Cricetulus griseus: one gene and its partners. The protein of the gene in region 1 binds, or shares a complex with, the protein of each later gene. Links are inferred from orthologs where the notes say so. Each region holds a gene or a part of one and is shown in the gene's direction. Other genes may lie near its edges. The genes, in order: Sf3b5, Sf3b2, Htatsf1, Ppil2, Rbmx2, Srrm1 and Sf3b4.

Region 1 (2,740 bases):
TGAGCGCTGGGATTAAAGGTGTGTGCCACCACTGCCTGAGGCATTCTTAATGGCACTGGAATTGCACTAATTTTTGATTTATTTCTTACTAACAGAATTTTCATGCAGATTCTACTTGTCTTAGTTGAAGTTTCTCTTGCTGTGACAGAACACTATAATTAAAAGCAACTCAGGGATGAAAGATTTATTTCATTTACTCTTCCGTATCACAGTTCATCATCTAAGGTAGGCAGGGCAGGAACCTGAAGGCAGGAGCCAATGCAGAGGCCATGGAGGGGTGCTGCTTAATGGCTTACTCTTCGTGGCTTTCTCAGTCTGTTTTCTTATTCAATTCAGGACTACCAGCCCAGGGGTGTCCCCACTGTAATAGGTTGGGCCCTCCCCTATTATCAGTCTCTTTGACTGAGATTGCTCTTTGTCCATTCATCAGATTTTTCTTTTAAAGAATACGATCTCCATCAAGCTATATAATATCCTCAAAGGATATCAGAAAAGAAGTACAGTATCTTTTTCTCAAGTAGTTTATACCTTTGTGAGGAGATACATAACCTCTAAGTTGAACATAAGGTGTAACCAGGCAGAAAAACAGAAGGAGAGAGTACTTGTCTTGAGACACAACTGACTTCCAGAAAATGATTGTAAGCAGCCTTAAAGTTAGGAGGTTGTTTGGTTGGAGGGCTCGGGCCCCTGGGTGGTGTGAGGAGTTGGAGCCTGGATTTTGATGTGGAAGACACCTGGTGTTGACACTCATCACCAAGCATTTAGGACCCAAAGAACTTTTCCCACTACCCAGATCCTAAGGGACAAAGCTGGGACCAAGGGCGGTCCGTGTGAGCTTCTAGGTACAAGAGATAGTTTTCCTGGTCACTTGTAGTCGTAATCGTTGGACACCATCCTACATTAGTCAGGCAAAAAAAAAAAAGAAGAAAAAAAAGGAAGGAAGGAAGGAAGGAAAGGAGGGAGGGAGGGAGGAGAAAGAAAGAAAGAAAGAAAGAAAGAAAGAAAGAAAGAAAGAAAGAAAGAAAGAAAGAAAGAAAGAAAGAAAGAAAGAAAGAAAGAAAGAAAGAAAGAAAGAGAGAGAGAGAGAGAAAGAAAAAGAAAACAAAAAACCAAACCAAAAGAAAAAAACACGCCAAATTCTTTGGACTACAAATCCCAGAATGCAACGCCGGAGTTAGAACGTGATCACCCAAGAGCCACTCAGCAGACCATCATGCAACGCTCTCCAAGTAGGCGGGCTCGCTGAGGGGACGGCCCAATGTTTCTTAGGCAACTCCAATGCCGCGGCAGGATTCACTTCCGCTTCCGCCTGGGAGAAGAGCGTCTGCGCAGGCGCCACAGTGGCGTCTTTCTCCCGCGCCTACACAGATAGAAGTTCCGTGTCGGGCCGGCAGCGGCGGCGGCGGCGTCTCTCAGGTTTGAACGCGGAGCGGGTAGCGTCGGGTCTGCGGCCTGATCTGGAAGCCTAGAGCGGAGCGGCGAGATGACGGACCGGTACACCATCCACAGCCAGCTGGAGCATCTGCAGTCCAAGTACATCGGTACGGGCCACGCCGACACCACCAAGTGGGAATGGCTTGTGAACCAGCACCGGGACTCCTACTGCTCCTACATGGGTCACTTCGACCTCCTCAACTACTTCGCCATCGCCGAGAACGAGAGCAAGGCCCGCGTGCGCTTCAACCTGATGGAGAAGATGCTGCAGCCCAGCGGGCCGCCGGCGGACAAGCCCGAGGAGAACTGAGGCGAGCGCTTCCCAGGCTCCCCCGCCGGCCAGCGGTGGGCCGGTCCTCCTTGCTCGGGCTTCTTCATCGTCTGTCACGCCTGGCCTGCTTACCTGTGGACGATTCCGAACAAGTCACCGAGAGACTGTCGGGACCCCCGGGAACTGTGCGGGAGGAGCGACCCTAGACCCGGCAAGCGAGGGAGAAGACGCCACGGGAGTGATGACGCGTTTCTAATGAGTCTGCCTTTCAGTAGTTGGTTGTCCTTCTTGCCATGTTTATAAAGTTTAGGATTTGTCCTATCTTTTGGTGTGGATTGCTGTGTTCCTTGGGTGGGGTCTGGGGAGGGTGCTGTGGACCAAGGTCTCAAGATGTTGCACGTTGCATCTGTTTTTCTTGAGAGTTAGTCTGTGTGTCTTCAGAAATGAAGAACGGATTTTTTTTTTTCATTCAGTGTTCACCAGAGCGTTTTCCAAAGGTTTGGGGGCATACATTATGCCAATTTGGAGAAAGGCTAAAATAGACCAGGGCTAGATGATGCAGGGAGATTGAGGAAGCTTGAAGAATTCGCAATTTTAAATACTATGCTTGTAATGCTAAGATATTGCGATGATGACATTTGAGAAAAGATTTTACGGAATCCAGAGAAAAACCGTGCAGAGCATGGGAAGTTGCTTACCATCTAATAGGGCATTCGTTGGTGTGTTTTAAGTTACTGAAGGAACACCAAAAAAGCAATGAGTCGCTGGGAGTGGCACACACCTCTAATCCCAGCACCCAGGAGGCAGAGGCTGAAGGATTTCTTGAGTTCAAGATCACATGAAAAAACCGGTAAGAGCCATTCACTGAGCGTTGTGGTACACGCCTTTAATCCTAGCACTCCAGTACTCTGTAGGCAGAGGCAGGGGATCTTGAGTTTGAGGCCAGTCTGCAGGTGGAGTTTCAGGACTGCCAGGGCTACACAGAGAAATCCTGTCTGGCTGCCTGCACCCCCCCCCCCCCAAGCAGTATGGCAG
Region 2 (4,506 bases), on another chromosome or scaffold:
GATTTAGTACTGTCCTTTCTGGCGTTGATTCCCCCTGCCCTCCCAGTGGCCTAGGGTAGTGATGGTAACAAAAGGGTCAAAGTTTGGATATGGATGAAGAGAACTAGAACCAGTTTTCCCCCTGCCCCCGTGCTTTCTTTTGTCTCTTGAAAAACCTCACCTTTCCTGCATTTTGTATGCCCCCCCCCAATTACTTCTCCCTTGGGGACAGCTGGTGAAACGGAGGTGGCTAGGAAGAGAAAAGATCTGAAGTGTGTGGGTGAGAAATGAGACCATTTGTGTTCGTCTCCCTTATTCATCACACACAAGAACAAACAGGCTGCATCGAGAGTGGAGGAAGAACTAGAAGGGAGAAGTGAGGAGACAAAATGAATGGGTGGATGCTTGGCAGGCAAGGGTCATGGGGTCTCCACCCAAGAAAAGAGTCTGAGTGTTTTCTTCCTATAAGAAGATAAAATCCCAGGGATAGATCCCCCCCACACAATCATTTATTAGGTGGCTCCTGGATGCTAGATGCTTCATGATAGAAAAAGATCAAGTTCTTGCTCCTGTTTTGGGAATGGAGGTAGGAATAAAGGGTACGAAAGACTTAAAAATGAAACAGGACAGCTGGGCGCGGGTGGCACATGCCTTTGATCCCAGCTCTTGGAAGGCAGAGGCAGGCGGATCTCAAGTGAGTTCAAGGTCAGTCTGGTCTACAGAGCGAGTTCCAGGACAGACAGGACTGTTGCACAGAGAAACCCTGCCTCGAAAAAAAAACAAAAAAAACAAAAAGGGGCAATAGATTGGCTCACATTTGTAATACACTTACTTAAACAACGAAAACCTTGGGACTGGAGAGATGGCGTTAAGAGCACTTGTTGCTTTTGCAGAGGACCTGCAACCGTCTGTAACTCTAGTTCCAGGAGACACTCTTCTGGCCTCCACAGACATCAGGCATGCAAGTGGTGCACATTTCGTTTTGAAAACAAAAGGTGGAAAGTTGGGTGTGGTATGAAAGCTCCTAGAAAGGAGAGGAAACATTTGGCAGAGAAGGCATTTTCTTAAGCCTTTCTCGAATGTGGAAAAGGGATTTTGGTATCGCCCTTCCCCCAAGTCAGCAGCTGGAACTCAGCCCGGCGGGTCCGTTCCTCTACGGGCTCCGATCCCCTTTCAGCCCATTCAAGCACGCCTGGGCCGGGAGCGAGCAGGCAAACAATCGGACACTGTTTTATCAGAGGCATCGGCTCCAACCTCCCACTTGGCGGGCGCCGGAAAGCAGTCTCTATGAGCTCCTGGGTGGAATAAGCATCCAGGTACCTCATCACCGAGAGTGTCGGGTCAGAAGACTTAGTATGCGTTTGGGCAGGTGAGGAGAAGAAGAAAGGAACCAATGGGTGGAGGGCCGGGTCTTCTCAGGGCCCTAGCGGCGGATCTACCACAGGGTACGGGATGTTAAAACAAGCGTCCAGCCTCTAGGCGGTGCAACCGTAGACTACAACTCCCAGAAGGCCGTGCAGCCTTTGTTAGCGGCGAATCCTATCTCCCAGCGAAAGGCAGTGAGTGGGTGTCTGAATCAAGTGCTTTCCAATCACCGCGGGACGTGGCGGAGTGCTCTGCCGGAAGTTCCGGGAAGTAGGCCCGGTGGCTGATCCGAGCTTCCGTGTTGGTCGCGCGCCTTCTTGTGGCTAAGATGGCGGCGGAGCATCCAGAGCCTCCCAAAGGAGAATTGCAGTTGCCGCCGCCGCCACCTCCAGGCCACTATGGCGCCTGGGCTGCTCAGGAGCTTCAGGCCAAACTGGCGGAAATAGGAGCTCCGATCCAGGGTGAGGCTCCCGGGGCGGTCAAAGGGGGCTGCGTGGGCTTGCGGGGCAGTGGGACCTGGTTACCCAGGAGACTCACGGGCGGGGGGCGGAGACAGGCCTCTGGGGCCCGACCTGGCCAAGCCGGGCTGTTCCGGCTGGTGCTGACCCCGGATTCTGTGCTTGGTTCCGCAGGGAGTCGCGAGGAGCTGGTTGAGCGGCTGCAGACCTACACCCGCCAGGTGAGTTGTGGCAGGAGTTGAAGATTACTTTTCCTAGAGGCCTTTAAGATAGGCCACGGATCGGTCTTCGTTTCTTTTACATTTTTTTAAAAAGCTTTTAGGCGGGGTTTTACTGTGTACACCTGGTTGTCCTAGAACTCTCTCTCAGTAAACCAGGGTGGCCTGGAACTCAAGAGATCAGGCTGCTTCTGCCTGCCGAGTGCTCTGGGATTAAAGGTGTGCGCCTCCACGCCCGGCTGGGTCTTCGTTTCTTACGTACTTCATCGCGGCAAGTCGGGTCTTGACCGTTTTGTCAGTTTTTGCCTTTGCTTTATTGTAAAGGTTACAGCCCCAATCTCTGGCAAACGGGCATCGGGTGCACTTTGTTAAATAAATGGTGGAGGAGGCCGTGCAATGGAATAGTTCCCTCTTAGTCTGACACACAGTTCTCTTTTCTTTTGTAGACGGGCATTGTGCTGAATCGACCTGTTTTAAGGGGAGAAGATGGGGACAAAGCTGCTCCTCCTCCTATGTCAGCACAGGTAAGAGACTGTTTATCGGTCATTCTGTTCAGGATAACCTTTCTCCCATGCATTGCACTGGAGATAAGAATATAGTGAATTAAGGGTGGGGTCTGATGAGACAGAATTGGGGCCTTTTCACTTCTGGCTTTGTGCCGGTATTCATCAGTCCGCAATGTCTGCTCTTCTAAATTTGACCTGTCATTCAAGAGTCAACTTGAATACCTAGAATTCATACTTGGTTCTCTCCCAGTTGGATGTAGTCATGTGTTTTGTTATCAGGCATAGCTCCCAAAGTTATTCATTGACACTTTAAGGGGTAATGCTGTGATTTTTTTATTATATACCTCCTGCATTTAGTAATTCATTGACAGTCTGTGCCCTGGCACATTGGTTTCTATTTCTTTAAAAAAACATATTTAAAGTTTAGTGGTGGTGAACACCTTTAATCCCAGCACTTGGGAGGCAGAGGCAGGTGAATCTCTGAGTTTGAGGCCACCTTGGTCTACTGAGTGAGTTCCAGGACAGCCAGAACACAGAGAAATTGTATCTCAAAAATAGTATCTGTGTGTGTGTGTATATGTGTGTGTGTATATATGTGTGTATGTGAATATATACACATATTTATGCATATGAGTGTTTTGCCTGCGTGCATGTCTGTACACCATGTGCATGCAGCATTACAGGAGGCCATAAAGGGGCTTGGATCACCCTGGGGCTGGAGTTACAGAGGATTGTGAGCTGTTATCTGGATGCTGGGAATTGAACCCTGTGATTCAAGAGCAGTTCTTAACTGCTGGTCCAGTCTCTCCAGTACTGGTTCCTATTTGTTTAAGTTCCTTTGGAATCCAGTATTTGAGTGTCTTCCTCTAAACTAGTGGCTTTGGCCTGGGTGGGTGGGGTGTGTGTGTGTGTGTGTGTGTGTGTGTGTGTGTGTGTGTGTGTGTGTGTGTGTGTGTGTGTGTGTGTGTGTGTTTGTGTTTTGTTAAGTGCCTGTATAGACTTTAGAGGTGTTCTTGTATTTTCTTAAATTGAATGCAATTTCAGAGGACCCAATAGCTTTGTTTGATCAGTGTTCTAAAGTTAGCCTTTTCTTCTCTTGATTCTGCTATGGTGCATTTTCTTGAGTTCTGCATCACTAGACTTTGAATGCCTGGCTCTTTTGCTAGTTCCCTTTAGAACTTTAGCTAGAAAATGCTTCTAAAGTGAATAAATGCTTTCTAGTTCATAGCTATATATTTTTTTCCACAGCTGTCTGGGATTCCTATGCCGCCACCACCTATGGGACTCCCCCCTCTACAACCTCCTCCTCCACCTCCACCACCTCCACCAGGCCTTGGCCTTGGCTTTCCTATGGCTCACCCACCAAATTTGGGTCCCCCACCTCCTCTCCGAGTCGGTGAGCCTGTGGCATTATCAGAAGAGGAACGGCTGAAGCTGGCACAACAGCAGGCAGCTTTGCTGATGCAGCAAGAGGAACGTGCCAAACAGGTAGGACAGGTGGAAACCTTACCTAGGTCACCTTAGGTCCCTGATGGGGAAATGGAACCCCAGAAAGCTAGACCCGGAGGCTGTGCCTTTTAGGAAGGTCTTGGTTGAAGACCAAGACCTAGGTAACAGCTGGCAGAGAATCCTAGAAGCAAGAATTTTGGCAGATTGGCCTGGTTGTATTGTTGCTGGCATGAGTTTTTTTTTTTTTAAGCAAGGAAATCATTCATTGAAGGAACATAGCTCTTAGAGCAGCAGAAGAGGGTAATATTTCTCTCCCTAACTTTTATGTTTTTTTTTTTTTTTTTTTGAGACAGGGTTTCTCTGTGTAGCTTTGGAGCCTATTGTCACTTGCTCCGGAGACCAGGCTGGCCTCGAACTCACAGAGATCCGCCTGCCTCTGCCTCCCGAGTGCTGGGATTAAAGGCGTGCGCCACCAACGTCCGGCTCTCCCTAACTTTTAACATCATGGTCCATCCATAGGATGCCATTTAA
Region 3 (4,553 bases), on another chromosome or scaffold:
TGTTTCTAATTTAAATAAAATTTTACTTAAAAAGAGTGTGTGCCTTGTGCAGTAATGATCATGTAGACAGTATCTCTCCTGGGTTGTAAACGTACTCCCGAATGAAATGGAAGCCCAATAACAACAGTAGTGAAAAGAGTTTTATACCATTTCCAGATCAAAGCAAGAAATACTTAGTAATGTTTAAACGAACCTAGCAAAATCACAACAAGCAACAAATTCAGTTCTCCAACAGCTCTACCAAAAAAGAACCTCATAAAAATAAATGTATTTGGAAATAAAAACTGTTTTAAAAAAACATGGTTAATGTTGAAATCAGATTCACAGGTCTGTGAGGAGCCAGGGTGCTCTAGAACCCACCCAACCATTGCATTTACAAGCAAAGGTGACTGGAATTGAAGTAACCTCTGGGTAATAATATGGATGTTTACACAGAGTTCATTGCTACTTTTAATGAATTAAAATTTTACTTGCATAGTTAAGATTACAGCAACAAATATTGTTGATAACCGCAATCCACATTTAAAACAAACACTTTGGAATTTTCTAGGTTTTTGAGTATAAAAGGATGCTGAAAACAAAATGATGTCTGCTCTCCAGCTTCTGGTACTTCTATTTTATTGTTCGCCAAATCATAAGTGAGTCTCCCTTATCTGTGCCTGTCTTCCCGACTGCTGTCCCAGAACCTCCCCCAGTGCCTGGCACTTAATAGGAGTGCAGTATAAACCTGCCTGTTTTAAAACATGGACCCCTTGTCGTGTAGAGAGACATGAAGTATTTTGGGGAAAAGTTCTGCTTATGGCAGTTAGTTGGTTGCCTTTCTAAGAGACAAGAAACCGAGCCACATGGTCCAGCTGGCATTTGTACACGGGGATGTTTACAGTCAAGCGTCAAGTTCCAGGCCTCAGCACCTCTGGTACCTTGCAGTATGATGCAGGCAACTGCTACCCTCAGCAACTGCAACCTGAAGGGAAGGTGCTACCAGATGCATAAAAAGGGGGTGAGCTTAGGAGGTGATGGGACCTTCTGCCCATGTTCAGTCACTTATTCACTCACTCTTCGCTAGATCCCAAACAGCATGTTACTGGTTTGGGTTACTGAGATGAGCAAAAGCCGTGTGTCGTGTAGTGTAGGACAAGAAATTCAAAACGATATACTTGGTTCCTTCGCAGGGGCGGGATCTGGCGTGAAAAGAGGCGCATGGCTTTCGCGAAGCGGGAGAAACTTGTCCCCACGGTCCCACCCACCTCCCCAAGATGGCGGTTGCCGCAAAGCCCAGCCCGCGCCAGCACTGCTGTCAGAATGAGGCTGTCGCCTCGTCCAAAGTGCAGAGGACGCCGCCGGGCCCAAGGCCCCTGCGGTGTCATGGATTCCTGCAGGCTTGCGTCCCCATCGGGTGCACGGACACTCCGGCGGCAGCCTTCCCTGGCAGCCCCGCCCCGCCCCCCCGCCCCCCCCCCCCGCCCCCGCCCCGCCCCCGCCCCGCGTCGCGGCCATTTGACGCAAGAGTGGGCGTGTCAGCGCGACCCGCTACGTCGCCACGCGCGGTCAATGGCGACCGCATCGGCCTGAGGCGGACTCCGTTCTCAAGCGACTTTCCTGTTGAGGCGGGAGGGAGCTGTGGTGCCTCCGGAGCCGACGGTGGCGGTGACGGCGCGCCTGCGCGCTTCCGCTTCGCCCTGGCCCGAGCGGGGGCGTCCAGGCCCCGCCGAGCCCGCCAGGTAGGTGGGGTGGCGGCCACTGCGCCGCCGGCGGCCTCGGAACGCCAGTGCGCGCGCGCGCGCGCGCCTGTGGGCCGGCCGGGAGGGCGGAGCCTGGGCGGCGCGGCGCGGCGCGGCGCGGCTCAGCCTTCCCAGGGACTGCTGGGGCGTTGCGGGGAGGCGGGCCAAGGGGGCTGCACCGCACACGACCTGAGCTCTGCCGACCTCCGGCTCTCTCACTTCTCCAGCGCCCTGTCGGCCTCTTCACGTCTCTGAACGCTGCTCCCGGCCCCGCTTCAGAAACATGAGTGGCAACAACTTGAGCGCGAACGACGAGTTTGACGAACAGTTGCGAATGCAAGAATTGTACGGGGACCCTAAGGACGGTGACACCCCGAACGATGCCTCCGGAGAAACGGAATCTGCGGGGGGACAACCGCAGGATGACACTCCCTACGAGTGGGACCTTGACAAGAAGGCTTGGTTCCCCAAGGTAAGAAAAGGGTGGCTGGACTGCCGCTGCGGAGCGTGGCTGTGGGCTCCCCTGGACACCCTTGCCGGACACCCCCTCTTACGTTTGCTCTTCTCAAGTACTAGGTCCTTGAACCGCTGCTTGATGGCTCGTCTGTTCCGTCCGTTCCAGTATCCGATGTATAAAGGAAAGAAAACCTTATGGTGGTGCCTGAAATGTTCTTTATGCCTTATTAATTTTTGTGAAGGTCACAGGCGTTATATTGATGACTGCTTTTTATTGCCAAAAGGAAAAACACCAAGGAAAACACATTTGTAACCGTTTTATCCTGTATAGCCAAACCTGTGAGATGTCTAGTGTCCATGCTGTGGATAAAATGCAGCTTGTTGATTTAGGGGGCGGGAAAGAAGGCTTTTACCCCACTCTATTGAATAAACTTTCCTTGCGTCTTGGTTTATTTTTCTACTGAATTTTGTTCCAGGGCATCTAAGTTTGACTCTTGTAACCACAGGAATATGACTGGGAAAGCACAGAAAATGGTTGGAAAAGGTCTCTACATTCGTTTTGAGTACTTGGAAATTGCTGTGTGTTTAATTTCAACGTGGAAATAACTAGTGTAAGCTGTATGGAGAAAGTACGCTGTTAGTCTTAGCCTAGGAGGGGCATTAGTATTAAAGGTTACGAACAGCCCGTCAAGTGACTTGGGAGCCAATCACAAAAAAACTTGTCTCCATTGTGTAGACCGAGTGTTAGTTTAAAAAGTATTTCAGCTATTCTTTCTTATTTTATATTTGTCCATATCTCAAGCTCCCCAAATTGTTGAAATTTGCTATCCCGTTTCTGGACTTGTAATGCCACCTTGAATGTAGATGTGATTTCTTCTACCTTCTGAGCCCTTTTAATAGTCCGACGGCAATTACTTGGTAACTTTATCTTTTACGTTACTTAAAACCCTGGTTCTTCAAACTTTGGGGGTAAAATTTTCACTTTTCTGTGTACCTGAAAGTGATAGTCATAACTCATAACTCATTCAGCCATTCAGCCATTCTACAATAGTGGGTTCCCCTGCAAAGCCAGGGCGATGGGTGTGTATCAGGCTTGCCTTTGATTTTGTTCTGTCACTAAGCGTTTCTCTGAATTAGTGCTCAAACTCAAATGGGCATTTTGTGTTCTAGCAGTTTCCAGCTTCATACATAAACATAAAAATCTTAGTGTACATACGTATTTTTGTGCATCCAAAAGTGGATTCTGTGATTAGATTTCTAGTTGACTTTTGGTTTTACTCTGTATCATTATTTGATACTTCTTTTGTTCTCTGTATCGGCCACCTTAGTCAGATATACTGTGGAGAAGCAAGAATTTATAAGACAACTAGAAAAGGTGCTAGCATCACTTAAAATTCTCTCATACTTTTTTGTTGGTAGTTTGAGCACTTTTTCATAGTTTCGTACTTTTTTCGTGTTACAGTTTCTATATAAGATGACTGCTCTCCTATTATATTTTAATTATTACAACTACCCTTGGCATAAACACTTGTTAAAGTCTTAGATTATATTACTGAATGTACAGTTGTATAACACATGAAGTAACCATGTCTGCATATGTGCTGACTTAACCCATCTAGATCACTGAAGATTTCATTGCTACGTATCAGGCTAATTACGGCTTTTCTAGTGATGGTGCATCTAGTTCTACTGTGAATGTCCAGGACCCCAACCCAAAGACAGTAGAAGAACCTCCACAAAGAGAAACCCCAGAAACCACTGACTCCAAAAAGAGGGGAGAAAAGAGAAAGGCCGAATCAGGCAAGTGGTTCTGTTTTGCAAAACCTGGGTGTAAAAAAGAAATAGGAAAATGTGTAAATACATTTTACATTTTGGAGGATTATACTAGCATTGAAGGAACATAATGTAAGTTTTCACTTTTATGTAGGCGTAAAGTCATTAAGAATTGAGATAGCCTTTTTCTTTTTCAGAGAGAGCCCTAAAACATTCTCAATCAAGAAGTTTATGTATTTTTGAAAGCTGGGTAATGATTTGAGTTAGACTTAGTTTTCTTAAATAAAGAGAACATTCTAAAAGTTTTTAAGAAGCTGCCACTACCAGGATTTCATAATGTGATTCTTGTTATTTGCAAGTGTTTTATTTATTTCATTTTGATTTTTAGGATGGTTCCATGTTGAAGAAGATAGAAATACAAATGTATACGTGTCAGGTATTTATCCCTTTTTAATGCAGTTTTGTGGTTGGAAACATTTAGGGTTGAGACTTTGTGCTAAGTGATTTTTATTTTTACTTTCTAGTGTGTTTTGTTCAGCTGTTTGTGTTAACTAGAAATTTACTTAGTACAGAACCAAGAAAAATGATGCAATTTTGCATGCT
Region 4 (3,810 bases), on another chromosome or scaffold:
GAGGAAGGCACTAGGATCTAGGGGTCATCAAGAATTGTGTCTCAGGGCCTGGTCGCTGTCTTCTGCTTCTGGACAAGGCTCTGTGGCTGACCACTGACTCTGCTCTTCTGTTCCAGGTGGAGAGTCCTACTGGGGCAAGCCTTTCAAAGATGAGTTCCGCCCCAACCTCTCACATACAGGCCGTGGAGTGCTCAGCATGGCCAACTCGGGGCCCAACACCAACAAGTCTCAGTTGTGAGTCCAGCTTTTCTTGCTCAGCTGCTAGGATGGTTTGCAAAGCGCCTGGCGTTGTCCCTAAAGGTTGTGCTGGGCCCAAGTCAAATCCAAGCAAGGGGGTGTTCAGTCAGGTGGAGCACAGGCGTCTCCAGGAAAGGAGCCCAAGTCAGCTGGTAGAATAGTGGTCATGAGTGGGTTCCCAAAGGCCTCTTGGGGTCCAACAGGAAAACCAGGAGTGTGTGGGTACCAGGTGCCATGCAAGGTTGCTGGTCCAGTGCTTTGGGAGGAGGTATTCTGAGGACAAAAGGCCAGGAAGAGGTACTAAGGCTCTGGCTTATCAGAGCCCAGTGTGTGTGGTGGTGGGTGGTAAGGCTCTTGGATGTCTGGTCTTGTGTTTTGGAATAGGTTTGTATTGTATTCTATTCTTCATCAAATCTTAATCAAATAATGTGGCTTAATTCTCCTGGATATGTCTTTTTTTTTTTCTTTTTTGTGCTGGGGTGTGAACCCAAGGCTTTGTGCATGCTAAATACATGTTCTACCATTGAGAACTGTCTCCATCCAGGGTATATCTTTTATCTATGGAGTATAGTTTTGTTATTTTCTTTTTTAAAAAATATTTTGAAACCGGTTCTCATTATGTAGTCCTGGTTCTTGTGGAACTCACTGTGTACACCAGGCTGGTTTCTGCCTGTCTCTGTATACTGGGTGCTGTGTTTAAAAACTTTCACCATCAGGACTGGAAAGATAGCTCAGTGGTTAAGAGCACTGGCTGTTCTTCCAGAGGATGTGGATTCAATTCCCAGCACCCACATGGCAGCTCACTACTTTCTATAACTCCAGTTCCAGGGAATCTGACACCCTCACACAGACAATGCACATAAAATAATAATAAAAAAAAATCTTTAAAAAATGTTCTGTCCATTTCTTCTTTAACTATCTTGTTTATGAAAGGTATCTTTAAAGGTGGCTATCATTTAAAAAAAGACAAAACCATGCCCCATCACAGCTGATTACAGCTTATTTTATGTGAGGGTATTCATGCCACAGTGTGCGTGTGGAGGTCAGATGACAGCTTTGTAGGGTCAGGACTGTCCTTCCACCATGGCATCCAGTCATCACATCCAGGCTGCCAGGCCTAACACAGCAGGTGTCTTCACATGCCAAGCCAGCTTGTCAGCTCAGTTTTGTCATTTTCTTTATGTGGATCTTCTGACTTCCTGGATAATGTTATACAAAGGAATTTTAGTATTTGTTGATTTTTTTTTTTTTTTTTCAAGGCAGGGTTTTTCTGTGTAGCCGTGGCTGTCCTGTAACTCCTCTGTAGACCAGACTGGCCTCAAACTCTCAGAGTCTCCTGCCTCTGCCTCCTGAGTGCTGGGATGAAAGGTGTGGGCCACCATGCCAACTTATATTGATACAAAGTTTCATTATGTAGCCCTGGTTGGTTGTACTAGAACTCTGCCTTGGAGTACTGACATTGCAGGTGTGGGCCATCACACAGCTAGTCAAATCCTCTTTTTTAATTTTTTTAATATGCATTGGTGTCTTGCCTGCTTGTATGTCTGTACGAGGGTATCGGTGTTGGATCTTGAGTTACAGACAGTTGTGAGTTGCCATGTGGGTGCTGGCATTGAATCTGGGTCCTCCAGAAGAGTAGTTAGTGCTCTTTAACTGCTGAGCCAGCTCTCCAGCCCCTACAATCAAATCTTAAAAAAAAAAAAAAATTAAGAAAATTTTTTAGCCAGGCGGTGGTGGCACATGCCTTTTATCCTAGCATCTGGGAGGCAGAGACAGGCGGATCTCTGTGAGTTCAAGGCCAGCCTGGTCTACAGAGTGAGTTCAAGGAAAGGCTCCAAAGCTACACAGAGAAACTCTATCTTGAAAAACAAAACCAAATTTTTTTAATGTGTATGGGTGTTTTGCCTACGTGTATGTCTGTATACTGCATGTAAGTTTGTGCCTGATGCCAGAGGAGGACAGAAGAGGGCCTGGTCCCTGGAACTGAAGTTATAGGTGATTGTGAGTGTAAGTACTGGGAATAGAACTCTTGTCCTGGAAGAGCAGCCAGTGCTTTTAATTGCAGAGTCATTTCTCCTAAGTTTATATGAAGAGTTTCTTTGTAGATTTTTGAACTTATCAGAAGAGGAGACATCTTCAACTTCCCATGTGCACATCAGTCACATTGTCACTGGGTGTTGGAGGTAGGCACATGTGTGTCCTGCTCCAAATGAAATGTGATTTTGTAGTCTAACATTTGTCAGGATAGGTGGCTCTGTTGTCAGAGGTCTAGTTTTTAAATCTGTCTCTAGTCATGTGACTGAGCTGTTGCTGCTTTGTATGGCTAGGAGAGGTGTGCACGTAGAGTCATTTTCTTTTGGCACGGGCTGAGTTTGTACCCTGAAAGAGCTGCGCTCACTTTTGTTTGCTGAGCCCTTTCTCCAGGACATGTGACAGCTTTCCTTTGTCAGCATTTCCTTACAGTCTCTTCAAAAACTTGAACAAAACCTAAATATTCCAGTTGCATTTTTGTTGTTTTTTTACTTGCCTCTTTTTTTTTTTTTCCAGGTTCATTTCATTCTTTTTCTAGCTTCCTTTATTATGTTAGAAATTCAAGAGAGCTAGGTCTGATCAATTCAGTCATCCTTGGTTCCATAGCATAGCCAATGAGCCCTTGTTCCAATGGCAATAACAGGAGTTCAGCTAGTGTGAAGGCTTAGACTGTGCATAGGTGTGGGCTCCATGACTTGCCTGGTGACCTTAGGAGTGCCCTTGCTTGCAGGGTGATGCATCTTCATTACTCACTGAAGGGTCTCTGTGGGCTGTCAGGATGAGGCTTGTGTCCTGTTGTCACAATAGGGCTGAGTTCATGTACCACTTTGTGTAGGGACTGCACTGCAACCCATCCCATAAACTTCCTGCTTTCCATAGTATTTATTTTATTCAGGGATGAGGGCTCACTGTGAGTCCCCACACCACACCCAGCTGTACTTTCCTCCTTTTGTCTGATGTCTTCCAGCGTTCTGCTGTCACCCACTTATAGGCTATAGTCTAGGGCTCCCTCCAGGCTGCACATACATGGCCTGTTTACTTCACCCCTAACCATTGCCTCCTGAAGATAGTTGGATAGCGAGCTCAAGCCTCCACTGTCTCCTGCTTGGCTCTCATGGGATGTTGGCAGCCGAGCTCTGGGATTTCTCCAGAGGTCTGGATTTACTTGGGAAAGGGCAGGTGGCTTCCACTGAGGAGCAGTCGTTGTTACAACTAGAGTATGCTGGGTGGCCCAGCCTGCTGCTTCCCTGACCTCCATGTGCTTTCCCCAGCTTCATCACATTTCGCTCCTGTGCTTACCTGGATAAGAAGCACACTATCTTCGGACGGTAAGAGCAGATGCTGTGCATGTTCGCAGTGCAGTGTGGACCTGGGGATTATCCTCATGCAGTCCCCGGTGAGGACTGTGGGTATTTCTGTGGAGGAAGGTTGGCTCTTCAGGCCTGTGGAGCCAAGGAGAGGAGGCCCAGGCGGCTCTAGCTCCTCTTCCTTCTCAGGGCACCTTTTTGGGTGTCTGAAGCACATTCCCCTTTCTCCTCAGCC
Region 5 (4,529 bases), on another chromosome or scaffold:
CAAGGAAATAAATTTGTCAGTCACCAAATAAGTTCACTATCCATAGTCATCAGGAAAATGAAAATTACAAATAATGAAACAAAATTTAAATAAGAAATAGAAATTACTACTTTGAGATACCACCATGAGATGTCACTGTCAGAGTGGCTATGGTCAATCAATCTGAAAACAAATGTTGGGGAGGATGTGGAGAGAAAAGAACCTTCATTCTCTGGTGGGGGTGGGTGAAAACCAATACAGCCATTGTGGAAATCAATCTGGAGAGTTTTCAAAAAACTAAAACTAGAACTACCATACGACCCTAATATTTCACTCCTGGGCTTATATCCAGAGAACTCCCTGTCATAGAGATATTTGCATCCTCATGTTTATTACTTCTTTATTCACTATAGTAAATAATTAGAATCAGCCTAACTGTCCATCAACATAAGAATAGGTAATGAAAATTTGGCATATATGAAAGGTGGCAAACTATTCAACTATCAAGAAAAAATAAAATCACAAAATTTGTAGAAAAATGGATGCGATTAGAGTGTATTAAGTGAGGTCATACAATCTCAGAAAAACTCTGCATGTTTCCCCCTTATATGCAGAATTTAGCTAACAATATACACATATACGTGAACAAATGTACATGTGAGTGCCATGTAACATGAAGAAAAAAGAACAAGAAAGGCTAAATATTAGGTGAGGATGGACTGAATGCAAGTAAAAGGGGATATAAATCAAATTCTTATAGCTCTAATGATATCATATTTTTTGGTTTTGTTGGTGGACAAGTGAATAAAAATATATTTGATAGTGACAGCCTAAAATCCAATGTGAAGTTCCACAGCTTCTGTTCTCAATGCTATTCTAACAGTATAGAAGTCCATTTGAGTCTTTGGGTCTGGTTAATTTCAGTGTTTAACTTGCAATCGTTTTTGAAATAATGAAGTTTAAAATAAAAAAAAAATAAAGTCAGTTAATCCAGTAGGGCGTGTTGATCACGAGACAGGGTTTCTCTGTAGCTTTGGAGCCTGTCCTGGCACTCGCTCTGGAGACCAGGCTGGTCTCGAACTCACGGAGATCCGCCTGCCTCTGCCTCCCGAGTGCTGGGATAAAAGGCGTGCGTCACCAAGGCCCGGCGTAAGACCACATTTCTTACGTAAATCTGTGGGTATTTAATTGGGTCTGTAGAGGCACACTGGTCCGTCTTTAATATTCGAGCGGGGAAACAATTCTCATAGCTATTTTCTTTACTTTTCTACTGTTAAATCCCAAACAGGGAGGCTTTGAGGGACTATTTTTGAGCAATTGCCATGGAGGGAAAGAACAGGGCTTTAGATTGAGAGAACAGGGAGTTTCGTCACCCTATCAGACACACTACTTCATTCAGAAAACGTTTAAAGCTAAATCAAACAAAAACTATCCAGAAGCTGAAGGTCCCTTAAAACCCCGGACCCCGCCCCTGGTCTACGTCACTAGGGAACTAGTTCCCTGACTAACTGACTGGAGAACTACTTCGCCACAGGAGCAAAGGGCACTAAGCGCGAGAAAGGCTTCCACGCTACTGCGCATGCGCCAAGTCTTAACGTGCCGGAGCGGAAGTTCCAGCGGAAGTTCCGCCTCGAGTTCGGCCGCCTCCAATCTGAGCTGGGTGATCGGTTGTGCCCGCCCTTCGTCGCCTCACCCGGAAGCTCATTTCTTGAGAGAAGAGCGCGAAGGCGCGAATATGAAGTAAGGGCTTCGTTTTTTTCGTCGGGAAGGGGGAGTGGGTTGCGGACAGTTGCCCACAAACGGTGACGGGTCCTCGCCGGGGCGGTGGGGCCTTCAGGCCTCGGGGCGGGAGAAGAAGGCAGGCTGGGAGGAAACGAACTTTTAACGAAGTCTTCTCCTCCCGCGCAGCCCTTTAACTAAGGTGAAGCTGATCAACGAACTGAATGAGCGAGAGGCTCAACTCGGGGTGGCGGAAAAGGTGTCTTGGCACTCGGAATACAAGGACAGCGCCTGGATCTTTCTTGGTGAGGGCCACAGTTTTCTCTAGCAGTGCCTTTCGGAGTCGCTGCGACCCACCCCCCTCCCGCTCCGGTTACTTAGAGCCCCTGCTGACCACGCTTGTCACCCACACAGCTTGTCTGCCCACAGTCCGTTTTTTATTCTCTTTTACTCGTCCTTTTCCAGTTATCTTTTCTGATAACCAGTGCTTTTTTTTTCTTTTTTTTTTTTTTTTTTTTTTTTTTTTTTGGTTTTTCGACACAGGGTTTCTCCCTGACTTTGGGGGCTATCCTGGAACTTGCTCTGGAGACCAGGTTGGTCTCGAACTCACAGAGACCCGCCTGCCTCTGCCTCCCGAGTGCTGGGATTAAAGGGGATTAAAGGTCTCGCGCCACCAGCGCCCGGCTTAGCCAGTGCTTCTTAGAATTGGTATTTACCATTCATTGCACTTAAAGGCTTTCCACTTAGCTGCCCAGAGACAGTTAACTCCACAGCCAACACATTACGAGGCCAAAGAAAGTGCGGTGCGGACAGGTGACTAGAGTTCTTTAAGGTTACATACTACATACTGCAGCACTATGAGATTAGTGGTCATTATTTTCATTTTTACTGTCTGCCCCTCCGCAAAACTATTTTCTCCTGTGATTGACTTTTGCTTCTAGTACTTTGCTGATTGTTGGGTTCCTGGACAGACAGTAGCCATCTGGAAAATATTTCGTGTGGACTCCTCACTCAAAATCAGCTTTACTCCTGCTTAAAATTTAGAATGTCATCTGAAAAGGTCGCGGTATCTAGGCGTGTTCATTAAGGGAAAGCTATACACCTGGTGAAAATACAGTCCACATTCCACTCTTGGTCCTGGGTGGATATGATGGGACATTTTAAGCAAACCTAACTGCCACATACTAGTGTGTCCCTTCCTTAAGACTTAATAAAGTTGGCCAGGAGTCACCTGTCAGGAAAGCTCATTCACCTGAAGACATGCTGAGGACATGGAAGGAAAATGATCCCCTTAGTGAAGCAATGTCCCGCAGGAGTTCCTCACTGCACTTATTACCTATTGCTGTTACATCTGTCTGCTGTTCTGACATCTAACTTATCCATCCCCTCCCTTTCTAGCCCTTCTTTGAATATTGTCTGAAATCCTGAGCATGCTTGCCCTAACACTCTGGACTTTTTCTTATTTCAAGTCTACAGGCTCTCCCGTTCCCTTGCAGCTGTTTCTTAGCCGCCATTTTTGAGCATGCCTGCCTGCATGGCCTTCTGATTAACTACGTATTTCTTCGTCTTGTCCATCTCCCTCCTCCCAGTAGCTGGTAAATTTTACAACTCACCTCCCCATCAGCTCTCTCTCAAATGCTAATAAAATGGATCTCAGGCTTCCTCAGTCTGTTTTAAAATTACTGACAAGACTAAGAGCCTACAAAGGGGAACTCTTAATATCTCTGGGAACAATATTACTATCCTTTGTTCACTTTATGTCACAACCAATAATCCTGCAGTTTGACTTTTGAAAGAGGCTATTTCACTAGATATTGTGTTAAGCATTTTATATGCACCGTTTTATTTTGTGTTTATAACATTCTTGTGAGGCAAATATACTGATAGCCCCTTTTTACACAGGAGGTAAAAAACATGGAAGGCAAATAATTTCCTGTGACTTGCCTAACAGTTTTCTTTAAAATTCTTAGTTTACACATAGGTGAGCATAACAATAGCATATTTGAACTCAATGTTTGTGAAATCTGAGTCTTGTGCAGGAAATTTTCTGTTTTATAGGAGTTTGGATGTGAGGACTGAATGAGATTAATTTGGAAGACAGGCGTTGGTGGCACATGCCTTTAATCCCAGCACTCGGGAGGCAGAGGCAGGTGAATCTCTGTGAGTTTGAGGCCAGCCTGGTCTCCAGAGCGAGTGGCAGGATGGGCTCCAAAACTACACAGAGAAACCCTCTCTCAAAAAACCAAAAAAAAAATTAATTTGGTAAGTGGTAACCCCTTTCCACTTAGACTTAATCACTTTTATTCCTGTTTTTGGAGACAATCTCATTTTGTAGTTCTGGCTGTCCTGGAACACACTCTGTAGACCAGGCTTGCCTAAAACTCACAGAGATCCAAGAGTTAATTGCTTTTCTGCTGGACTGTTGTCACTTTTCATCCTCTGTCATTGCATTAGACTGATTTTTGTGAGTTCAGGGCTTACTCACTCTGCACCTCCAGTATCTGGCCCAGTGCATAATATGCAGTAAACACTTGATTAATGTTTGCTGACCTGAACTGTGCTTTGTTTTCTTCTAGGAGGGCTTCCTTATGAACTGACAGAAGGAGACATCATCTGTGTGTTCTCACAGTAAGTCCTCTTTCATTTCCTACCTTCTGGGTGCATAGAGATGTTTGCTTCTGTAGTTTATTTTTGTAAGGCAAAAACAGTATTTTAAGCTGGCTATGGAGTTGTATACCTCTAATGCCAGTAGAAGAGACTGTGAGGTAGGAGAATCACCATGAGTTTGAGGCCAGCCTAGGCTACATAACGAATTCCAGGTCAGTCTGCAC
Region 6 (3,810 bases), about 260 Mb from region 1:
CCATTTGCTATTTTACCTTAAGTTTGTAAGATCTACTTTGTTTATATATACACAAGCAATAACTTGTGCCTGGGGGTCAGGACAACTTTGGAATCCATTCTCTCCTTCATTTGAGTGGCTCTAGGGAGTTGAGCTTGGATTTGCACAGCAAGGGCCTTTACAGTGATTCTCTCTTCTTCTTCTTCTTTTTTTAAGATTTATTTTGGCCGGGTGGTGGTGGCACACACCTTTAATCCCAGCACTTCAGAAGCAGAGGCAGGCAGATCTTTGAGTTCGAGGACAGCCAGGTCTACAGAGTGAGTTGCAGGACAGCCAGAGCTGTTACACAGAGAAACCCTGTCTCAAAAAAAAAAAAAATATTTTGAATATGTGTAGAGGTGTGTGTGCTCCCGTGCATGAGTGTAAATGCATGCATGAGAGCACAGCTGCCTGCAGAGGTCTCCAAATCCCGTGGAGCTCGAGTTGTAGGCAGTTGTGAGCCACCTGATGGTGCTGGGAACCAAACTTGTGTCCTCTGAAGAGCAGCCCTAATGCTTTAACTGCTAAGCCATCTCTCCACCCTTGTAATGAAGCTTTTGTAACAGCTCAGAGGTAGCATAAAAGGAAAAGTTCTCCATAATTCCATTCCTAGATAGAGCTGTTGCATAATACTTGTTTATACTATAAAGATGTGTCTGCTTAAGGTGCCTTCTGATTGGTTTAATAAAGAGCTAACTGGTCAGTAGCTAGGTAGGAGAGATAGGTGGGACTTAAGGGAGAGAGAGAAATGATAGAGGAGGAATCTAGGTGTGTGGATTTTGCCAACAAGTCAGATGTGTCTGATGTGTCCTTATACTAAGAAGAGGTAACTGAGCCATATGGCAGAACATAGATTTGAAAACTATGGGTTAATTAAGTTACAAGAGCTAGTTGGGAGAAAAGCCTAAGCGAAGGCCAAGCTTTCATAATTAATAATAAGTCTCAGGCCATTATTTGTGGACTAACCATCCAATGATAGTCCAACAAGAAAGCTTGAAACAGCCATTCCTAGTAATTTACAATAGCTACATTTGTGACAATTAGATATTCTCTAATTCAGTCAATAGTACTAACTCATTTTAAACATTGCTGAAATGTTTAATTTGTTTAACCATCCTAAAATGGGTATCAGATAAAATGTTTTAATCTTAGATACATTATTTTATAACAATAAGATTGTATCTAACTTTATCCAAAATGAGGCCTTGTGCCCAGGAACAGAATTGTCTGCCTTACTGTGTTGACAGGCTTTTCAAATCTGCTTTGGACAGAACTTTGTTGTCTATTTTTCTGTGTTGCTGCTGGTTGAACCAGGGCTGAGCCTGTGCTCCACCTCTTGAAGTCACCCCAAGTCCTGGAAAAGCTGTTAAGTTAATGTTTTTTGCAGAGAACCACAGCAGCTAGAAAATGGGGAAACATCATAAGCTCCTCCAAGTTCTATCTGTGCAGGTAGGGACTTTCTGACCCATACTTTAACAGCAACAACAACGAATACCATCTTCTTTGGAGAGTGTTGTCCAGGTACCAGTATTTAAACGCATATAATTGCTGCTGAGCTGGTGGGCAAGGATAGACGTGTATATGGCAGAATTCCAGACATCACACTTTTCACATTGATCATTCTATTTTGGAGAGAAGTAATGCCAGTGCTCCTTAGTACACTATTAAAGAAACTACAATTTCTTACATTGTGGAATTTTGCAAACAGCGTGTTTCAATAGTGCGCACTAAACAATTTAGCAGTCACAGTATTTTGCAGATTGTGTAAGATTCCCTTTCAGCCAGTTTTTAATCTCACACTTAAGGTAGGGTTTCTTTTTTTCAGGTTCTCAGGAATTCTTCTGCCAAAGGTGAATTCTGCAGGTACACGTAATTGCAACAGAACTTAACCACAGATTTTGCCGCAGAATTCGAGAGGCCCCCCTACTTCTAAGTTTATGTAGCTAAATGAATTTCAAATCTTGCACATATTTTTAGTGCAACTTGTTTGACATCACTCTGAATGAGCAATACTCTCTCACCCCCAAAGTTGTACAAACTCCATAACCCCAATATCACTCTTCAGGAAGAGGCTGCTTCGTTACTGAATTATAGCACTCACAGCTCAAACACTATCAGAATGAGTTAAGTGTATTTACTCTCAGAAATAGCTGTTTCCTGTCCTAGGTTATGGTTTTGCTTCCAATCTTCTTGAAGTAATTTGTGTACTTAGCTACATAAACTCCAAAGTTGGATAAAAACTAGCCGTGTTTTTGTGCACCTTGTACACACTGTGGAGTCTTTCTTCATAGGGATGCAGGCAGTGAGATGAATGCTCTATTCCACAGAAGGAGGCGTTCTTCTGCATCGTTGTCTGGAAGTAGCTCTTCGTCTTCGTCATCTCGTTCCCGGTCACCGCCAAAAAAGCCTCCCAAGAGGACCTCCAGCCCACCTCGGAAAACTCGTAGGTTATCTCCTTCTGCAAGTCCTCCAAGGCGAAGGCACAGACCATCATCTCCAACAACTCCACCACCTAAAACTCGCCATTCCCCCACCCCCCAGCAGTCAAACCGCACAAGAAAAAGTCGTGTTTCTGTGTCTCCAGGAAGAACTTCGGGTAAAGGTAAAAACACACAAAGCATTTTGTTCTCTGGCATCAGGGTGAACCCAGTTGTTCCACCTCCAGAAGCAGCTAGGCAGTACTTTCTATGTAACAATGTAAATGGCTTGCCTTGCCTTTCTGTTCTCAGGTGTTTGGCGGGGGGCCGGGGGCTGTCTGTAAAGGTAGTTTGTTTTTCCAGTGTCCTTTGTGTGGGCAGGTGGCAAGTGGATCACTAGCTTGGAGCTGTTTGAGTTGGGGTAACAATTGGGATTTGTCTTCTTACTGTAAGAATTTATTTGGTTACTCTGAGACCAATTAACTATTCCATCTTCCCCACACCCCTTCTTAAGGCTTTTTGTTTGGTATCTTACTTGAGAACTTTATGTTCTGTTACGCTTTTTGGTCACATTTATGCTCCCAAGGGATGACTGACTGACTGATTGATTTAGGGTCTAGGCAGGGTTCTTGGGTGCTGTCTTCACTCTTCAGGAGATTGGTTTCTAAGAAATTGATGACCTGTGATTATGCCAGCCACATAGAATGTTGGTTAGTCTGTTAGTTGTAACTTGCTGGGGTTTTAGCACTAAAATGGACGTGGAGAGAGAGGATAGGATCCATTGGAATAGTGCCTTTGGTGCTAGGGCTGGAGTAATAGAGCAGCCTGAAAGGTGAGTGTAGTGGGGCGGGAGGATCAGGCAGGCCCATCGGCTGCCCAAGTACTGGGATTTCAAGGGTGCACCACACTAGCTGCCCCTTTTAAACTGTTAGACTGAGAGTGATCTATGGAAAGAGGACCTGCTGGTGATGGCAAGCTGCAAAAGTAATGTGCGGATTATTATTATTATTATTTTTACTTTAATGCTAAGTTGACCCAGTGACAAGTAAGATGTGGTATTTAAGACAGCTTTTTTTTTTTTTAACATGCACCATATTTATATAAAATGCGGACATTTCAGCCTGATACTGCCCTAGCCTGCTTGTCGTTCCCTGTGAACTCTATACTTGTAAATGTTTCTTTTGTTTAGAGCTAGAAAGCTCTCTAAGAGGAAGACAATCTTAAGTGTTCCCACTATAATTTTAGAAAAATACATGTTTTTTTCTATTTAGATTATAGAGAAGAGTTACTTTAAAATACCAAACAGAAGGAGTTTGGTTAAAATAGGCAGTTGGGATTTATTAGTTACTTTGTTTGCTTGCTTGCTTGTTTGTTT
Region 7 (4,413 bases), on another chromosome or scaffold:
GGATCTCTTGTGAGTTTGAAGTCAGCCTGGCCTACAAAGTGAGTTCCAGGACAGCTGCACAGAGAAACCCTGTCTTGAAAGAACAAAATGAGAGAGAGAGAGAGAGAGAGAGAGAGAGAGAGAGAGAGAGAGAGAGAGAGAGAGAGAGAGAGACAGGGAGCCAGGAGAAAGGGGGCAGGGGTGGAGGAAGAAAGAGAGAGAGACCTTTGTGCCCTTGTTTTCCCCTCCCCAGATGGGCTCCTCGGCTCTTACAATCTCTGGCCTCCAGGATGAACTCTCTTGTCTTCAGGAACTATTAAGAAAACTGACACCAAGAATATCTCCTGAGGATCACTGCAAGAAGAGAGATCCAAATACCATCCTCTCTCAGATCCGTTGAGACTGCTAGCATTCTCGAAGGCAGGGCAGAGGGAATGTGGAGGGAGTTCTGCTCATGTTTCTTTGTATCTGACCTCAGTGTTTCAAGCTTTCACATTCCAGCCCATAAAGGAGCTCACTCCGTGAGTGAGTTTCTGTAGCAGACATGGAGCTACCAACCTCCAGCTATTTTTGTTTCTCTGGAATAAGAAACAAAACCACTTCAGAACGTTTCCTTTTTTTCTCTGGCAATTCCATGCCGTTTAGATGACAAACTGTCAAAACTGTGAGATCAGAGACACTTCATCAGTTCCAACAAGATGCCCCAGAGACTTCATTCTCAACCCCTCACACTGCTTTGAAATCCAGTTTCTTAGTCTTCTGTGGGAATGAGGGAAATAAGGGAGACACCCTGTCCTCCCACTGTATATTTTTGTAGTGGTATTTCTATTTAAGGACTTCATTAAAGCACAGTATTTCTACACATTGCTGGTATTGTTTCTTGTGTTGAATGAAGATCTCGGTAAAGTGGTTGGGGGAGGGTATGCACTGAGAGAAAAGCACCCAGATTATTGATACAGAAATTAAGGACCCAGTTCGAGGCCAGCCTGGTCTACAAGAGCGAGTTCCAGGACAGCCTCCAAAGCCACAGGGAAACCCTGTCTCGAGAAACAAAACAAATAGATAAAAAAGAAGTTAAGGACCCAAAACAGGAGGGGCTATTCCGACGAAATTTGGAGAAAGAAGCACCAACCCCTTTTTTTTTTTTTTTTTTTTTTTTTGAGACAGGGTTTCTCTGTGTAGCCCTGGCTGTCCTGGCCCGGGAGGAAGGCTCTCTGAGTGTCTCTTCTGTGGGAGGGGAGGGATGCACGGTGCTGCCGAGTGCTCCCGAGGCTGAGACTGACCGTGAACACACGCGGCACCGTGCCTCAGATGACCCCACGAATAGTGGGGCTCAGACACTTCCGTCTGCACTGAGGTAACAGGCTGCGTCCCGAGGCAGCCGGCCCGCCCCTCCCTCCCCCCAGCACGCTTCTCTGCGTCACAGAACATACAAGGCTGAGATTAGGGCTTAAATTTGGGCTGGGGAGCAGCGGGACTGCCTGACAGGCGAGAGCCGCGTCGTCAAGAGGGGCCTGAGCGCCTCGGCGCCAGCCGGGCGTCGTGAGAGCTCCACCACAGCGTCTTTCCAGACACGCGTCAGACGCCTAAGATGGCCGCGGCCACTTCCGGCTCCTCCCCTGCCGCCCGCCCCGCCCAATGGGAGCCTTGGCCCGGAAGTGGAAGTCGTAACAGGTCAGAGGGCGGTGCTGCCGCTTAGAGACGGCGGGAGCCTCTTCGCCATGGCTGCCGGGCCCATCTCCGAACGGAATCAGGGTAATTGGGGGAGAAGAGCCCAAGGTGGGCCCAGGGAGGTGGAGGGCAGATGAGTGCTAGAAGCGTTAGCGCCAGCGTGGGAAACTAGGTTTCCCCGGGAAGGCCCGCGTCTGGGGGCTGGGCCTGGGGGCCGGGTTGAGGCCGAGGCCTGTGAGGGTGATGCCTCTGGATCCGGTTCCCGTAGGCACTCCCGCTGCTACCAAGCGCATCATTGAAACTCCACCGGGAAGTACACAATCCGCAAGAACGCCACATTAGACTTGAGCGGGTTTTTTTATACTAGGCAGGCAAAGGGTGATCTCAGGGTTTTAGTTACTTTTTTTTTAAATTTCTGTTTTCCTTTTAACTCGTGACCTCGTCCTTACCTTCTGCTTTCTTGCTTTAGATGCCACGGTGTACGTGGGCGGTCTAGACGAGAAAGTGAGCGAACCACTGCTGTGGGAGCTCTTTCTCCAGGCAGGGCCGGTGGTCAACACCCACATGCCAAAGGATAGAGTCACTGGCCAGCACCAAGGTGAGTATTTACGGCAAGAAATGACTTTACTTTGGGTTAGCGGCCCCTGAAGCATCTCAACACTAGTCACAGCTATTTTGGAATGGTTTCTTTCTCTAAGCTTCAGTTGGCAGTTTGTTTCAGGAGTAGTCTCTTAGCTTTAGTTTGAAGTTGGGATTCTTCCAACTTGTTCTTTGTTTGGAGGCTGGTGAGTTAGTGTGTCGTTTTGAATCTCTTCATCTGAGTAGTCTTTTCTTCAATTCCCCAGGCTATGGCTTCGTTGAATTCTTGAGTGAGGAAGATGCTGACTATGCTATTAAAATTATGAACATGATCAAACTCTATGGGAAGCCCATACGGGTGAACAAGGCTTCAGCTCACAACAAAAACCTGGATGTAGGGGCCAACATTTTCATTGGGAACCTGGACCCAGAAATCGATGAGAAGCTGCTTTATGATACTTTCAGCGCCTTTGGGGTCATCTTACAAACCCCCAAGATTATGCGGGACCCTGACACAGGCAACTCTAAGGGTTATGCCTTCATTAATTTTGCCTCCTTTGATGCTTCGGATGCAGCAATTGAGGCCATGAATGGGCAGTACCTGTGTAACAGACCCATCACTGTGTCTTACGCCTTCAAGAAGGACTCTAAAGGCGAGCGCCATGGCTCAGCAGCTGAACGACTTCTGGCAGCCCAGAACCCGCTGTCCCAGGCTGACCGTCCTCACCAGCTGTTCGCAGATGCACCCCCTCCACCCTCTGCCCCCAATCCTGTGGTTTCATCCCTGGGTTCTGGGCTTCCTCCACCAGGTAAAGCTTTTAGTTCAAACTACACCAGTGAGAGGCCCTTGGGAGGGAGGGTCAGAAGGCAGAAGAAACCCTGAGGGAGTAAGCTGTTAACTCAGCGGGCAGCGAGAAAGGGATGAGGAGTGCTGGTGGAAGGGATGCAGATGTTGGGTTTCTTTGGGAGACTGGAGTTTAGTGTGCTGGAAGGAAGCTAGAGCTCTGTAAGACAGTCTTTCTTTCTTCACAAGATAGACTCTCGTTTCTTGTATAGGCATGCCTCCTCCTGGCTCCTTCCCACCTCCAGTGCCGCCACCTGGAGCCCTCCCTCCTGGGATACCCCCAGCCATGCCCCCACCACCTATGCCACCTGGGGCTGGAGGACATGGCCCCCCAGCAGCAGGAACTCCAGGAGCTGGGCATCCTGGTCACGGACACTCACATCCTCACCCATTCCCACCAGGTGGGATGCCCCATCCAGGTAAGTGGTCTGCTGGGAAACGGAGATGAGCTTGTGAGAGTGATTCTGTCACTGCTCTTTGTCTTGGGTGGAAATAGTCTAGAGTCTCCCTTTCCTTCAGAAAATACTTCTGTGTGTACTTCAGCTCCCTCCCGTCTTGTCTCTGGTTTTTCCTTTTTCTGCAGAATAGCCTGTTCTTACTGTTTTTACTCTCAGCCTCTCCTCTGATTCCCAGGAAGGAGCTCAGTTGCCAGATCTAGGCGACATTTTTGCTTATTTTTTTTTGTTGTTGTTTTGTTTTAGGGATAAGGTCTCTCTGTGTAGGATCCTGACTGTCCTGCAACTCATTCTGTAGACCAGGCTGGCCCTGAACTCAGAGATCTGCCTGCCTCTGTCTCCCAAGTGCTGGGTTTAAAGGTGGCACTACCACTGGGCAGCCGTTTCTGCTTTTTGTTTTTGTTTTTCGAGACAGGGTTTCTCTGTGTAGTTTTGGAGCCTATCCTGGCACTGGCTCTGTAGACCAGGCTGGCCTCGAGCTCACAGAGATCCTCCTGCCTTTGCCTCCCGAGTGCTGGGATTAAAGGCGTGCACCACCAACGCCTGGCCTGTTTCTGCTTCTTAACCACTACTATACACATGACGAGCTATGCATGTATTAAACTGTTTCCTCTATGTGACTTATCAACCTCAGCAACCTGGGTCAGCCCCCTTTTTTGTCTGTGTAGATTTTGTGCTTTGTTCTTCTTCCAGTGTTTATTTGTAGTGTTAAATGTGCAGGTACTGATTCCTTCTGTCTCTAGTCCATGGTTCTTGACAGGCTAGACAAGGCTGCTGCTCAACCCACAGTTCACTTTTCTCCTTCCAGCATCTCCTTCTACAGCCCTTGTTTGTAGCAGCTAAGTTCACAACTCTGGGAGTTTGTATACTGTCATCCACTTGCAA

Evidence for each region.
Region 2: Sf3b5 (region 1) and Sf3b2 share a complex: the UniProt entries of both Homo sapiens proteins name them as parts of the SF3B subcomplex of the 17S U2 SnRNP complex. The link is inferred for Cricetulus griseus from reciprocal best matches to the Homo sapiens genes SF3B5 and SF3B2.
Region 3: Sf3b5 (region 1) and Htatsf1 share a complex: the UniProt entries of both Homo sapiens proteins name them as parts of the 17S U2 SnRNP complex. The link is inferred for Cricetulus griseus from reciprocal best matches to the Homo sapiens genes SF3B5 and HTATSF1.
Region 4: Sf3b5 (region 1) and Ppil2 share a complex: the UniProt entries of both Homo sapiens proteins name them as parts of the minor spliceosome. The link is inferred for Cricetulus griseus from reciprocal best matches to the Homo sapiens genes SF3B5 and PPIL2.
Region 5: Sf3b5 (region 1) and Rbmx2 share a complex: the UniProt entries of both Homo sapiens proteins name them as parts of the minor spliceosome. The link is inferred for Cricetulus griseus from reciprocal best matches to the Homo sapiens genes SF3B5 and RBMX2.
Region 6: Sf3b5 (region 1) and Srrm1 share a complex: the UniProt entries of both Homo sapiens proteins name them as parts of the minor spliceosome. The link is inferred for Cricetulus griseus from reciprocal best matches to the Homo sapiens genes SF3B5 and SRRM1.
Region 7: Sf3b5 (region 1) and Sf3b4 share a complex: the UniProt entries of both Homo sapiens proteins name them as parts of the SF3B subcomplex of the 17S U2 SnRNP complex. The link is inferred for Cricetulus griseus from reciprocal best matches to the Homo sapiens genes SF3B5 and SF3B4.

What each region holds. Positions count from the first base shown.
Region 1 is NC_048595.1:275,868,200-275,870,939, reverse strand, and holds Sf3b5 (splicing factor 3B subunit 5), read left to right. Parts: upstream 1-1,334; 5' UTR 1,335-1,483; coding exon 1,484-1,744; 3' UTR 1,745-2,028; downstream 2,029-2,740. UniProt on the Homo sapiens protein: Component of the 17S U2 SnRNP complex of the spliceosome, a large ribonucleoprotein complex that removes introns from transcribed pre-mRNAs.
Region 2 is NC_048596.1:54,019,449-54,023,954, forward strand, and holds the start of Sf3b2 (splicing factor 3B subunit 2), read left to right. Parts: upstream 1-1,638; 5' UTR 1,639-1,672; coding exon 1,673-1,805; intron 1,806-1,976; coding exon 1,977-2,023; intron 2,024-2,466; coding exon 2,467-2,544; intron 2,545-3,774; coding exon 3,775-4,014; intron 4,015-4,506. UniProt on the Homo sapiens protein: Component of the 17S U2 SnRNP complex of the spliceosome, a large ribonucleoprotein complex that removes introns from transcribed pre-mRNAs.
Region 3 is NC_048604.1:15,383,074-15,387,626, reverse strand, and holds the start of Htatsf1 (HIV Tat-specific factor 1), read left to right. Parts: upstream 1-1,578; 5' UTR 1,579-1,721; intron 1,722-1,948; 5' UTR 1,949-2,004; coding exon 2,005-2,193; intron 2,194-3,796; coding exon 3,797-3,977; intron 3,978-4,338; coding exon 4,339-4,386; intron 4,387-4,553. UniProt on the Homo sapiens protein: Component of the 17S U2 SnRNP complex of the spliceosome, a large ribonucleoprotein complex that removes introns from transcribed pre-mRNAs.
Region 4 is NC_048597.1:72,241,716-72,245,525, forward strand, and holds part of Ppil2 (RING-type E3 ubiquitin-protein ligase PPIL2), read left to right. Parts: intron 1-116; coding exon 117-234; intron 235-3,539; coding exon 3,540-3,596; intron 3,597-3,810. UniProt on the Homo sapiens protein: Has a ubiquitin-protein ligase activity acting as an E3 ubiquitin protein ligase or as an ubiquitin-ubiquitin ligase promoting elongation of ubiquitin chains on substrates.
Region 5 is NC_048604.1:20,792,125-20,796,653, reverse strand, and holds the start of Rbmx2 (RNA-binding motif protein, X-linked 2), read left to right. Parts: upstream 1-1,519; 5' UTR 1,520-1,558; coding exon 1,559-1,719; intron 1,720-1,887; coding exon 1,888-2,003; intron 2,004-4,274; coding exon 4,275-4,326; intron 4,327-4,529. UniProt on the Homo sapiens protein: Involved in pre-mRNA splicing as component of the activated spliceosome. As a component of the minor spliceosome, involved in the splicing of U12-type introns in pre-mRNAs.
Region 6 is NC_048595.1:17,934,086-17,937,895, forward strand, and holds part of Srrm1 (serine/arginine repetitive matrix protein 1), read left to right. Parts: intron 1-2,309; coding exon 2,310-2,620; intron 2,621-3,810. UniProt on the Homo sapiens protein: Part of pre- and post-splicing multiprotein mRNP complexes. As a component of the minor spliceosome, involved in the splicing of U12-type introns in pre-mRNAs. Involved in numerous pre-mRNA processing events.
Region 7 is NW_023276806.1:60,350,859-60,355,271, reverse strand, and holds the start of Sf3b4 (splicing factor 3B subunit 4), read left to right. Parts: upstream 1-1,576; 5' UTR 1,577-1,700; coding exon 1,701-1,734; intron 1,735-2,119; coding exon 2,120-2,248; intron 2,249-2,495; coding exon 2,496-3,038; intron 3,039-3,285; coding exon 3,286-3,492; intron 3,493-4,413. UniProt on the Homo sapiens protein: Component of the 17S U2 SnRNP complex of the spliceosome, a large ribonucleoprotein complex that removes introns from transcribed pre-mRNAs.